Linked DNA regions of Caenorhabditis elegans. The protein of the gene in region 2 interacts with the protein of the main gene of each other region in a pairwise test. Each region holds a gene or a part of one and is shown on either strand. Other genes may lie near its edges.

Region 1 (7,793 bases), on a different chromosome or scaffold from region 2:
TTCAATTCCGGCAACTTGTCGATTTGCCAAAAGTTTTCAATTCCGGCAACTTGTCGATTTGCCAGAAGTTTTCAATTCCGGAAATTTGCCGATTTGCCGGAAAAATCGTTTGCAGCCCACCCCTGTTTCAGATCACAATTGATATTAATTTCAGGCTCTCCGTCTGGAAATTGCCAGTTATCAACGCCAGCTCCAACTCTACGATGATCAACAACAACATCAATCTCTAGCGTCTGAAATAGCATCGTCGAGTAGTCCAAACGAATTTCTGAACATGAAAATTAATGGGTTTTTGAAAAGCCATAGTCCATAACTTTTTAGATTTTTTCTTATTTATATTTTTTTAAACAATCACTTGCGATCTCTAGTTGTCTTCCTTGAATAATTCCAATTTCACACACACAATCATTCCGGCCCATAATCCCATCAATTTCGGGTGACCCGGTTCCTTTTCTGTCCTTCTAATCTTACTACTTTTTTGTTAGATTTTCAAAAATGAACTATTGCAATTTATTGTATTAATAATATGTTTCAAAAACACTCTGAGAAATAAGCAGTCAATATGATGATTCTATGAGGTATGTACAACCCGTCGATGTGATCTTATCATCTGTGAGCTCTACATAAACGGCACCAGCGCTTCTTTCTTCTGGCGATATGGACATCTGAAATATAGGAAATGTTAGTTACACTACAGTCAATACTTAGATGTGCTCACCTTGAAAAGTCGCAACATGTGGAGTCACACTGCATCGGAGCTCTCTTGACGAGCTTCATGGTGACCGATCGCTTCTTACGGCCACATCCGCAGGGTTGCTGAAAAGTGTCAAGATTTGAGAGTTGGTTTTCGTATTACAATGTTGAGTTTCACCTGGCCAAGGCGTAACATGGGAACTCGGAACTTCGTATACATTTTGTCATAACTGATTTTCAAGTTATTCAAAAGTTATAATCTTATTGTTAGCTACTTATTTACATTGTACTTTCTAAATTTGAATTCCACCTAGCATTTAATTGGAGGCATTTTTCGAGTCAAGTTGGGGGAGGCGTGAATCTCATACCTGTGGTGCACACGGCGAACATCCTCCAAATAGACTCCTCTTGTAGCGATTGAACAAATGACCCATACTATTACATTGAGAACATCCCGATTGTGATAGGGTACTGCGTTTCTTACGACCCAGGCATGGAAGACATCCCTGTAAGAAAATTGATAATTGATTTTTTGTGAGCTCGCAGTACTCACCATTCTCTTCACTCTAATATGAGAATTCTCATCGGTATCTCGCTTCTTTCTTCCCAGACACGGCAGACATCCCATACGCTTGACACGTGGCGATCTGAGATTTGACGCTCCACATGTGCCACACGAATTTTGACTCTGAAAAGTGGAGTTTTAGTTCTATCCATTCACTCTGAAACGTCATACCATCGTCGAAAAACCGGAAGTGCATCCCGGAGCTGCACGTTTCTCTCGGTGATGCAACACAGATCTCCATGGCTCACCGGCAGAAGAGCACTGATGACAGTTCGAGTTAATTGAGTGACGCTTGAGACGACGTGATTTGTGCATTCTCCGTCGACATGGACACGATGGGCAGGCTCTACCACAGATTGGAATAGTCGGAAGTTTAAAGTTAATCGAGCAACAAGTTGGTGGAGGGAGACAGACTGGCGCTGGCTGACAGCAAATCTTCGGTTGCGGGCAGCAAGGTATTGGTGGACAACATGGAATTGTTGCTGAACAAAGATAGTTCTAAGAATGAATTGTACGGATTATTTATGTCACTTACGGAGACAGCAAGGAGCAGGTGGAGCACAACAGTTTTGAGGCTGTGGCTGGCACCCGCAGGATGGTTGCTGATAAGATTGTGGGTACTGTGGTTGGTATTGCTGGAAAGGTTGTTGGTAGATGGTTCTGGAAAAAAAGTGACATATTTCCATTTAAAACAAAGACTTACTGTTGTTGAGCGACTGGTTGTGGCTGAATATAGGCGTTCCCTCCAACGGTGTTCTGGAGAGGGACAAAGTTCTGCACTGGCTCGGATTCGACTGCAAAAAAAAGTTTCGACCACGGCAGGATTCGAACCTATTTTTGTGACCAACGGGGGAGTCTTGAGGAAACTTACGTACCTAACTGCCGTGATGGGTCGACTGCGTGTTGAACATGCAATGGGTCAGCCTAGAAATTATTAAGTTTAAAACAGTGCTGCTTTTTTTTAAACCTGTGTCTCAATATTTCTGCTCACAGACTGCTTCTCGTCACAACATGAGCAACATGTTGGCGACTTTCTTCCAAGCTTCTTCTGTAATGTTTAATTTTTATTATATTTCAAAAAAATCGGCTGAAATTTTAAAATAAAACCATAAAATCTTTTCCGGTTACAGCTGTAATTCCCTTCGATGATTCACTAGTAATTCGCTGTTCATACTCCACAGGTTCCCGCGCCGAGTTCTCGAAAGATTCTGAAATAATGTAAGATTCATATTTTTCTTCCAAAAATTTTTGGAATATCGATATTATTTACCAGCAATCCGATCAATTTCTGAAATTTGTGCTCTCACTTGAGTGTTCGTGGTAGTGATGGTGGAAGGATTTGTGCCGTGCTGTGTTCTGAAAAGTGTGTGCCTAATTGTATCTTGATTTTTCTCCAAAACTATTAAGTCTATAAAAAGTTATTAACTGACAAATTGTTCGCCAAACTTTTTTATACATTTTGTTAGTTGACAACTTTTTGATAGCTCTCGTAGTTTCCGAGATATATGCGTTTCGAGCAAGATTAAACATGATGCATCGAGGACTCGATTTCCCACAAAAAATCACCTCAAAGGCACAATTGCCACATCATTCGTCCCGTCATATCCTCCATCGTCCGGGTATTCTTCAAAATTTGAATTGGCACGTGGAATGTCAGATGGTGCAGTGATAGTGCCAAAGTGATCATATGGGTCTCGTGCGGAAATCGCATTGTTCGAGTTAGATGGTGAACCGGTGCTTGGTGACGTGGCATGTGACATATTCATCATTTTGCCCGCGTGATTATTGGCTCGTGCTCCGTAGTCTAAAACGTCCGGGATGTAGCTTGGCTCACTGCCAGGAGCATTGTCATGGTCAGACCAGGAACTGTCAGATGGATATGGTTTCGAATTGCTGGGCTCAATGCTACGTGGTATTTCGTATGGCTTGTCATCTGGTTTAGTCTTTTGTGACGCAGTACTAAGAGCTTTAGGCTCAGAATATCCAGATTCTGTTCCAGGACCCTCAAAGATACTTGGCCCATTGTTTCCCATCGGTTCGTACCCTTGTGACTCTGAAAACGTGTGTGCTCTGGGAATGTTTTGTGCGGCGTGACTGGGTGCTTCAGGTAGACCATTACCGGGACCAGAGGGGCCAATTAGTTCAGAATATCCAGGTGGACTATTAGACGTGCTCGGATTGGTGCCGGGTGCTTGCTTCGGTAAGAGCACAGAACTTTCTGATGATGGCTCTAAAAAGTCGGGTGATGTGGAGACATGGTGAGTGATTGTGCTTGACTCTTGTGGTGATGGTGCAGGTGGTGAATTGAGCGTGGAGTATTTTGTATATTGATGATCTGGTCCTTCCTTGAAACTCGGGACTTGACGTTCATATCCAATTGGCCCTGTTGGTGACGATGGTGCAAAGTAATCAATCTTAGAAGGAGTAATAGCGGTTCTTGAAATTGCATCAGATCCCTTTGGATTCTCTCGGTGTCTTATTGAAACATTTTGTGGACGTCCAGGCCCGCCGGATTCATATCCTGATTGGGAGGCTAACCGATCTGTTTGAGGGTTCTGAGAGTTAGACCGAGGTTCGGTGCCAGGTGCCTGCTTTGGTGTAAGCATAATATTTTCTGCATATGGTGATGGTTCTGAAAACTTGGGTGCTATGGTGATAATTGGTGTTTGTACGTGGTGAGTGGTAGTGCTGTGAAGACTTGGCTCCGGACCAGGTGCTCTGGCATTTTTCATGAGATGTGCTGCAGTTTGTTGAGGTGCTTGGAGTGAGTTAGGTGATTTTGTGCCACTAGCTTTTGTCCGAGTTGTCTCCTGCGGGCCATCTTCATAATCCCTTGGCCTTGGCTGTGTAAGTACATGTTGTGAATTAGATGTTAAGGGTGTTGAAAATGGAGGATCAGACCTTTCCTTCGAGCTTGATGCGTATTCAATTGACACTGCTGATGGTTTAGTGTAGTCCGTGATATTAGGAATTTGGGCTCTTGAGTTTGCTCCAGACACCGCTGGGTATCCAGATTCGTATTCTGGCTTCTGGGTGCTCGAGTTGTCTGAGTAAGGATTCTGAGAGCTATACCGAGCTTCAGACTTAGGTTCGGTCCCAGGAGCCTTTCCTCTGCTAGTAGAAGATCTTGATGTTTCAGTGCTGTTTGGTGCAAAAGTGTGCTGAGTGGTGGTGAGCGGTGCTGTGGGGTTACCTGCCATATTTGAACCACGTGAAGCTGAAGAGCTTGGCTTTGTACCTGGTACATCTGTGAGCTCTTTGTAGTCATTCGACGATGGAATAGAACCATCTTGCTCATACTGGTTTTCAGATGGCTCAGCGCTAGGAGCACTTCCCTCCGGATACCCGGAAGCATGATCATCTGACCATTTGGAACTTTTCTCAGATGATCCTTTGTTTGGTGCATCCTTCTTCTTTTGAATCAATTGGGTTAAAAGGTTTTGTGGTGCAGATGGATGCGGTGGAGGTGGATCATGCAGTTTGGGAGGGTCTGTGCAAAAGTTGGGATTATTAGTGGTAGAGTGCCGTGCTGGTTTTAAAGACAGTTTGATAATCTGGCTAACTTTGAATTTTGCGCTTATATGTCCACTTGTGCGCTATTTTGCGCTTATATGTCGATGACAATGGCCACTACATGTATTCAGAAGACCTATCTTTATTTGAACTCCAAAAGTTGAAAAAGGCAGTACACAAAATCTACAATGTGACATGTGACACTACTAGAAAATTGTTTTCAGATGTTAAATATTTAGAACGTTAGTTTTACATATTCTCTAGATACTCAATTATATTTTCCTATTCCAAATACCTTTCTTATCCTCCCCGGTGGCTGTGGCAGAACTTCCCCCGCCGTAAAGTAAATCCAAATTATCAGTGCTCTCCGATTGGTCGGATCCGGATTCCGGATCATTTTCTGGTGCTCTAGATGGCGCTGGTGGTGCAGTGGTGGTTGATATTATATTTGTGATAGTGACAGGTGTTTTGGTGGTTTTGTGCAGCTTTGATGGATCTGGAGTGAAGTTTTATAAAACACGTGTGTGTGAAACCACTATTTAGGTGTTCTGGTGCATAGGTGAGATATTTCTACGTGGCCACAAAACTCAACTTTCCACCAACCTTTAGTACTACTGCTCGGCGACACTTTTACTTTTTCTTCTTCTACGGGAGTAGTGGTAGGTTCTGGAGTGGGTGTTGTTGCAGGTTTCGACGTGGTTTTCTTGGGTCCAGATTCGGCTCCGGACGCTAAATAACCACTATTTCCTGGGTCTTCTGGAGATTCACGGTCTGTTGAGATGGACGCGATCGACTGGAACGCTGGCATTTTTCCGCTGCCTGCGGAGGGTGGGACTGAAAATTAGAAGGAAGTTATTGACAGGCTATTCTGATTTTGCTACATGACTGCCGAGAAATGATAATCTGGAAATGAAACGTAATATAAAGTGCAAGATAAACTCGGCCAACATTTACAGGGAAAAATTGATAATAATTTGGAAAATAAATTTCAAAAATTGCATATTTTTTCTAACGTACCCTTCTTTGGCTCCTTTTCATAATAAAAATCATATCCGGTCCATGTGCTTTCATATGGATTTTTGGGCACTTCCATATCATTACCAGCTCGTGTTTCTTCTTCTGGATAGGTCCCTGGCGCACTTGCAAACCCTAGAACATTGTGTCCTTCTAGTAATAGTACTAGAAGGACAACTAGATGTATCAAAAGCCTTCGCATATGGAATTGATCTAGAATATCTGTGTTTAGTTTTTATTGAAAAATTGAAAGTTGCAGACAGGATAGAAAGAAGGGTTTTGACTTTACAATTTCTAGGAGCAAACTATTTTTTAAGAAATTATATCAAAGTTTAATTGGTAGAATCCAGAACAATAGTGATATAGCCTTTCAGAATTTAGGAACAAACTAAAAATAAAAAAGGAAACAAATCAAAAACTAAAATGACGGACTGATATTAAAAACTCTAGTACCTAAATTGAAGACTTTGCCTTTTTATGCCCAAAATGACCAAAAACTACCGCGTTTAATGAAACGTTTTGAAAATTTCTCAAAAAAAAGTTAAAAAGTTAGTGGGACACAAAAATGTAACTTTTATTTAGACCCCACTGACCGAAAATGTACTTAAATAAACGAATAAACTTATAATAACAGATTTACACTAGTTTTCAAAATGTTCCAACGAAAATAAACAAAAAAAAACTTAAATGACACATAGAAGGGTCAAACCGAAAGCATGTCAAAAATCTCGAGAAAGAGAAATTTCCGAATCCACCGGTATTTCTTGATTTGTGAACTGGCTAATCGACAAGTTTCCCCTTCTTCTCTGGATCGGAAAAGGAAACCGACAGGCAAGAAGGAGAAGGAGAATGTTGAAAAAAGAAGAATCCATTATCATTTAGCCCTTCTATGAAACATGGCTAACGGGATAAGCAGTGATAATGGACTTTGATTATTTTCTGATTTATTGGAAATAATTGGGGTGTGGTCTGTGGAAAATGTGATCTCTTATGGAACGAATAACTCCGTTGGGATAGGAGTTGGAAAAATATTGTCAACTGACAAAATATTTTTGAGACAATTTTGATTATTTTGATAGTTGACAATATTTTTGTATCTCTTACAGGTACTGAGTTATTAAGGATTCAAAAATCAGCAAGTTTACAAATAGAAGTAGACATTTTACCAGGGGGAGTATACAAGAACGAAGTGAAAAACTGGACATGCAACTTTGAACCATTGTTTACTGTTTTTGAAAGTAATTTTTACCTAATTTTCCAAAAACAGAGTAAATTATGATTTTTTTTGCGATGTGGCCGGGAATAAATAACAACTCGGCCACCAACTTTTTCGCTTCAATTTTGAAAATTTTTGAAAATGTCAGAAATGTTAGATAAAACTATACTAGAAAAATATCTGCAAGCTTATTACGATGAGATATCTGAAAGACAGAAAAAAAACGTGTACAGACCGCCCATATCATCTCTCGGTCTTGTCCAGAAGATGGACGTCATGCAGATGTTGCATAACAATGAAATTTGACAGGGGAAAAATAATATAACGTAATCGACGTGCTTGATCTCTTAGAGAATCGGGTTTTTGTCTATATTTTTTTATTATCGTCTGCGCATATTATTTTTTATTTTCCCTTCGGATATATTTTTGAGGAAACTTTGGAAGAGAAGGGGGCAGCGAACCAGAGAATCTTAATTTAATAAGATGTGATCTTCTGGGAAAATAGGACTTTGCACCATCTAATAAAAATATATGCTGTATTTCCTCTATTAGTCTCTATTAGTCTTGCACCCCACGGACCAATTGAAAATTAGTCTTTCATTTTATTTAATGCGAAAAGGTTTGCGTCTCTAAAGAGTACTGTAATTTCAAACTCTCGTCGCTACCGCTGTGATTAAGAAATTGCCGGCCCAGGTGTTGCAAAAAAAATTGCCCACATTTGCCAAAATTTACAGGATGTTGAAAAATGCTTTCAGATGCTGCCAAATATTTCAGAAAAAATACTGAAAATTG
Region 2 (4,618 bases):
ATTTTTTTTCGTTGCTAATTTTTTTTTGCTTTTCAAAATTGTTGTTTTCCGTAAGTACAATTTTAGCATTTTTTTTAGGAACGACAAAAAATCGTCAGATCAATTTGTAATTTGAAATTTGAATCCAAATAATCTCTTGGTTTTAAAAATTTAGCATTTCAACAAATATCAACACAAAAACTAAGTTTAATTATTCAATGTTTATCAACTGAATTTTTATTAAATTGAAAAAAAAGTTGTTTTTAAAAGTTGTTTTTTAAAAATTTATTTCATCATGTTACCGTGAATTGAAAATTTGAACTTTTCAGTTATTTGAGAAGATTCCCTATTTTGAAAATGTTGGCAACATATTTTTGAGCGTAAAATGTTCACAATGAACTGTAATTTTTTGATTAATCAAAAATATATATCAGAATCAATTTTAAGGTTTGTGACCTCCAACATTTCCAAAAAACATAACTGATAGCATAACAAGTAAGTTCAAAAACTTTGCGTCTCTTGAGTATTATTGGGAGGTAGTTTGAAATTCCCCAACTATCTTTGAAACATTTGAGAATTTCACTTTTTAAAATTATGTAATTGATTCACTTGTTGGTATTTTTCCATGAAATTCCGACAGTTTGCCATTTCCAAATGCGCGGTCATTTGTCAACTGTGCTCCGCCTTGGCCTTCATTTCTACTCAATTTTCTCAGCAAAGTTTGTCCCGTCTAAACGGAACTACTAAACTTTTTTGCTTTTGCCGTTTTTATTTCGGAAATTTTTATTTGAATTTTCATCCAAATATTTTCTAAAAACGTATTTCGATATCGGTAACCCCAGCAAATCTCATTTTTCCGCATAACAGGACAAACACACTGTCCTTTTCGCTTCACTTTTTTGCTATCCCCTTCTTTTTTCCGTGTGCGTGCCGGGTGAAACTAGTCTCATCATTTGAAAATTGTCTGTATAATATCCGACCTACTACACATAAAATATATAGATGTTGGAGATGTTGACAGCCGGAAATTGTTTGGAACTAATTAGCTGCTGAGGGTTTTTTGCTGTAATTCAAGTGGACCCAGCACTTTTTGAGTATTTTGAATTTGTACTTACGCATAATTAAGCTTGTTCATTCTTATTTCTTTTAAATAAAAAAACTCCTGAAATCACAATAAAACAATATTGTCGCTTGTTATGGGATAAAACCCCATATTTCAGCTAATTTTATTAACACATACAAGTACATTAGGAACTAGATGATAATAAAAAAAAGTAGGAAATATTTTATCAGACGACAATTAAAAGTAAAATCAAAAGCATGAGCTGCCAAACTGAAACGAGCACAAAAAAAATGTCGAAATTGTACAAATACTCTCGAAAACCTTTTTTTTTAACTAAACGCTGAATTTCTATGTTTTCACTTTTTATAAACGTTTGAAAATTTTGTATATCTTCAATCACTCGGTCAACTGAAACTTTCCCTACTATTTCCAAATTACCGTCGAAATGCCACAGGGCAGCTAGCTGACCCCTGGCAACCACGAGATTCCCCCCCCCCCCCCCTTCATCTCTCTTGCCCGTGTTTCCTCTTCCGTTCTAATTACCTGCTTATTATCCGACAATACACCTGGCTCTCTAGGACCTTCTCTTTCTCTCTCGCGTCACTCCGGCAGCTAGCGTGTGCGGTACAGAAGAACAATCGTCAAGCGGCAAACTACCTTTTTTACCTCCAAACACAAAACAATTCGACTAGCTGCCGTCATTACTCCTATTTGGGATCTGCATTCAATGATCTACCACTCATGAAATATCAACATTTTCTCATATTTTGTACCCTGGTTACAAATGGTAAGTCTACTACTAAGATATGATGTCATTCGGTTTCACAGACTGATTGATCTGAGTGTGAAAAGTTTTGGTTTAGACTAGATGAGAGATAGAAATGTATAACACGAAGTTTAAGTGAACATCTCAAAAACTGAAAATCTAATTTAAATTCAAAATATGTTTGAGAAAGTTGATTTTGGGCTTTTAAGTGTTGAGCATTGTTGTATCTGAAAACTCTCAATTTTTGCAGCCCATCTCTTCTTTGATTTTGTAATCGTTTATATATTTTCAACTAAAATTGTAAACAAATAACTATTAACATATTTGTCGGTTAACAATTATTTCAGAAGCCCAGACCTTTTCAATAAAACACATGACTTCTTTCTCTGAAAATTAAATGAAGCTCGTATATTTCATACCAAAAAACAAAATAAATTTCTAAATTTTGTTTTCCAAAGATCAGTTCCAATCTAAAACTTGGACAAAACTACCAACTGACTTTTTGCAAAAAGTAATCCATCATTATCATTAAGACAGATGAATACCACAAGCTGTCACTAAAACTCTTTTCAGCACTATGTAACAGAGCGTGCAGTCGGAACACATGTCTTAACGGCGGAACTTGCACAGTGAACGATGAGACGCGAATGTTTCAGTGTGAATGTCCGAAGGGTTTCAGTGGGTTGCTATGTCAGGACAACTGCTCTTTGCACTGTCTCCACGGTAACTGCGTGAAAGGAACGTTTGGCGAAGAAACTTGCCAGTGCTCCGAAGGATGGATGGGCTCACTTTGTGATAATCTAGTTACTGATGATGACACTGCTCAAAAGTGCTCACCGCAATGTGGCGATGACGAAAGGTATACATGACCTTGTGCAAACCAAAAACATGTATGTTTTTTATAGATGCACAAAAGGAGCCGACGGATCATACATTTGCCAGAGCAACGAGCCGTCTTGCGCAACACACACTTGTCAGAATAACGGCACTTGTGTTGCCGAGAACGTGAGTGACTTGAGTCCAGAGTGATAAAAACCAATAGAATGTTCAGGGAAATGTAAAATGTGCCTGCCCACCTGGATTTGTTGGAGATCACTGTGAAACTGACGAGGACGAGTGCAAAGAAAATTTTTGTCAGAATGGAGCAGATTGTGAAAATTTGAAAGGAAGTTATGAATGCAAATGTTTAAAAGGATTTTCTGGTGAGTTTTGGTTTGAAAATTTGGATGGGAAGGATGAAATATAGTTTTCCAGTAGACATAATTGTGAAAAAAAAACCTGAAGTTTGAAAAACGTTTAGTTAGATTTTTTCAATAAGACTAGTGTGAATTTGATCAAAAATCATTTATAAGGTGCTAAATGACCAAATGTCATAAAAAATTTTCTAAACAATTCGGGGATTTTTTATCTCGAGTCAAAAATCGCATACATGTTTTTGCCACGTTTCGACAAATCTGAAGCATTGTCATGTTGATCCCTTTTGGCTCGAAATAAAATCATTTCTTCAGGTTGTTCAAAAAGTTTTATTATGATATTTGGACAAATACCCAGTTTTTTTGCAATACTTATAGTTTTCAACTTTCTTATTATTTTCTCAATTTTGTTAACGTTGCTGATTTGTTGAGAGTTTACATTCGAATAAATTATTTTATAAAAACAAAAGAAAACTAAGAAGAAACATGTTTTCACAATTTCTTCTAGGTAAATACTGTGAAATCCAAGACAAGAAACAATGCACTTCTGATTATTGTCACAACAATGGTCAATGCATTTCGACTGGCTCCGATCTCTCCTGCAAGTGCTCTCCCGGGTTTGATGGTGCATTCTGCGAGCTCAAAGCAGAGGTAACACCAATTTTCTCACTGTTAATTGCTTGTGTTTTTTCTCAGGTTAACGAGTGTATATGTGAAAACCCGGCTCATGTTTGTTCACTCGTAAACGGGACGTCAAGGACAACGCAATGCGAGTGTCCTTCGGGGTTTATGGTACGTTTGACGAATAATCTGGGCATGTTCGGATATGGGTCCCTCGCGCAATCTATCGTTTAATTGCAGGGTGCCGACTGTAAAGAGTTGCAAGCTCGTCCATGCGATCGTGAGCCGTGTCTTAATGGGGGTCACTGCGTCGACGACGGGCAGAATCTCTTCACCTGCTTTTGCCTTCCCTCTTTTACCGGCATCTATTGTGGAGAGCCTGTTGATTGTCTGGTTAATGGATCGGATTGTAAGAATGGGGGAAAGTGTGTGTTCGCGTTAGCCGCAACTACCTGCCAGTGTCCGGAAGGATTCAATGGGTCCAATTGTGAAATAAGTAATTCATATCGGTCACATCCAACATGCAGTGACATTCGATGTTTGAATGGTGGAAGCTGTAAACTCGACGCAGAAGGGGAACCGTTTTGTGTATGTGAAGAAGGGTTTGATGGACCGTTCTGTGAGCCAAAATCTGGATGCACAATTAATCCCTGTCAAAATGGAGGAACTTGCCAAGATGCAGGTAATAAGAAAAAGAATAGAGTTTTTTAGGGAGCTGTAAATTAATTTTTGTGCTGATACTGATACTCTTTAAAGTTTTACAATTTTTCAGATGGACAATACTTCTGTCATTGCACATCAGGCTTTGGTGGCGTCCACTGCGAAACGGTGGATGAGCCTTCAACCCCTATTCCCACATTAGGAACGTTTCCATCTTTTACAACTTCTGGAATCGACGGATTCTCTCAGAGTGTGAGTGTTTTAGTTTTTTATTCAAAATTCGTTCATAATAAATACTTGCAATATTAAAATTTTTCAGAAAATATCTTGCGAAGA

Evidence for each region. Proteins that work in one complex are often made in the same cells at the same time.
Region 1: the proteins of crb-1 (region 2) and K08E7.5 interact in a two-hybrid assay, tested with the Caenorhabditis elegans proteins (one large-scale study listed by BioGRID).

What each region holds. Positions count from the first base shown.
Region 1 is NC_003282.8:12,571,575-12,579,367, reverse strand, and holds K08E7.5 (Prion-like-(Q/N-rich)-domain-bearing protein), read right to left. Parts: upstream 6,001-7,793; 5' UTR 5,988-6,000; coding exon 5,789-5,987; intron 5,606-5,788; coding exon 5,375-5,605; intron 5,268-5,374; coding exon 5,067-5,267; intron 4,749-5,066; coding exon 2,825-4,748; intron 2,615-2,824; coding exon 2,529-2,614; intron 2,467-2,528; coding exon 2,366-2,466; intron 2,307-2,365; coding exon 2,226-2,306; intron 2,183-2,225; coding exon 2,134-2,182; intron 2,053-2,133; coding exon 1,962-2,052; intron 1,919-1,961; coding exon 1,794-1,918; intron 1,741-1,793; coding exon 1,430-1,740; intron 1,382-1,429; coding exon 1,247-1,381; intron 1,200-1,246; coding exon 1,062-1,199; intron 817-1,061; coding exon 719-816; intron 666-718; coding exon 620-665; 3' UTR 498-619; downstream 1-497. Other genes in the region: K08E7.6 (Myb_DNA-bind_5 domain-containing protein), read left to right, coding at 155-313.
Region 2 is NC_003284.9:17,411,015-17,415,632, reverse strand, and holds the start of crb-1 (uncharacterized protein), read left to right. Parts: upstream 1-1,618; 5' UTR 1,619-1,783; coding exon 1,784-1,829; exon of another isoform or gene 1,830-1,941; intron 1,942-2,381; coding exon 2,382-2,667; intron 2,668-2,713; coding exon 2,714-2,813; intron 2,814-2,859; coding exon 2,860-3,010; intron 3,011-3,509; coding exon 3,510-3,652; intron 3,653-3,697; coding exon 3,698-3,793; intron 3,794-3,862; coding exon 3,863-4,304; intron 4,305-4,394; coding exon 4,395-4,534; intron 4,535-4,601; coding exon 4,602-4,618.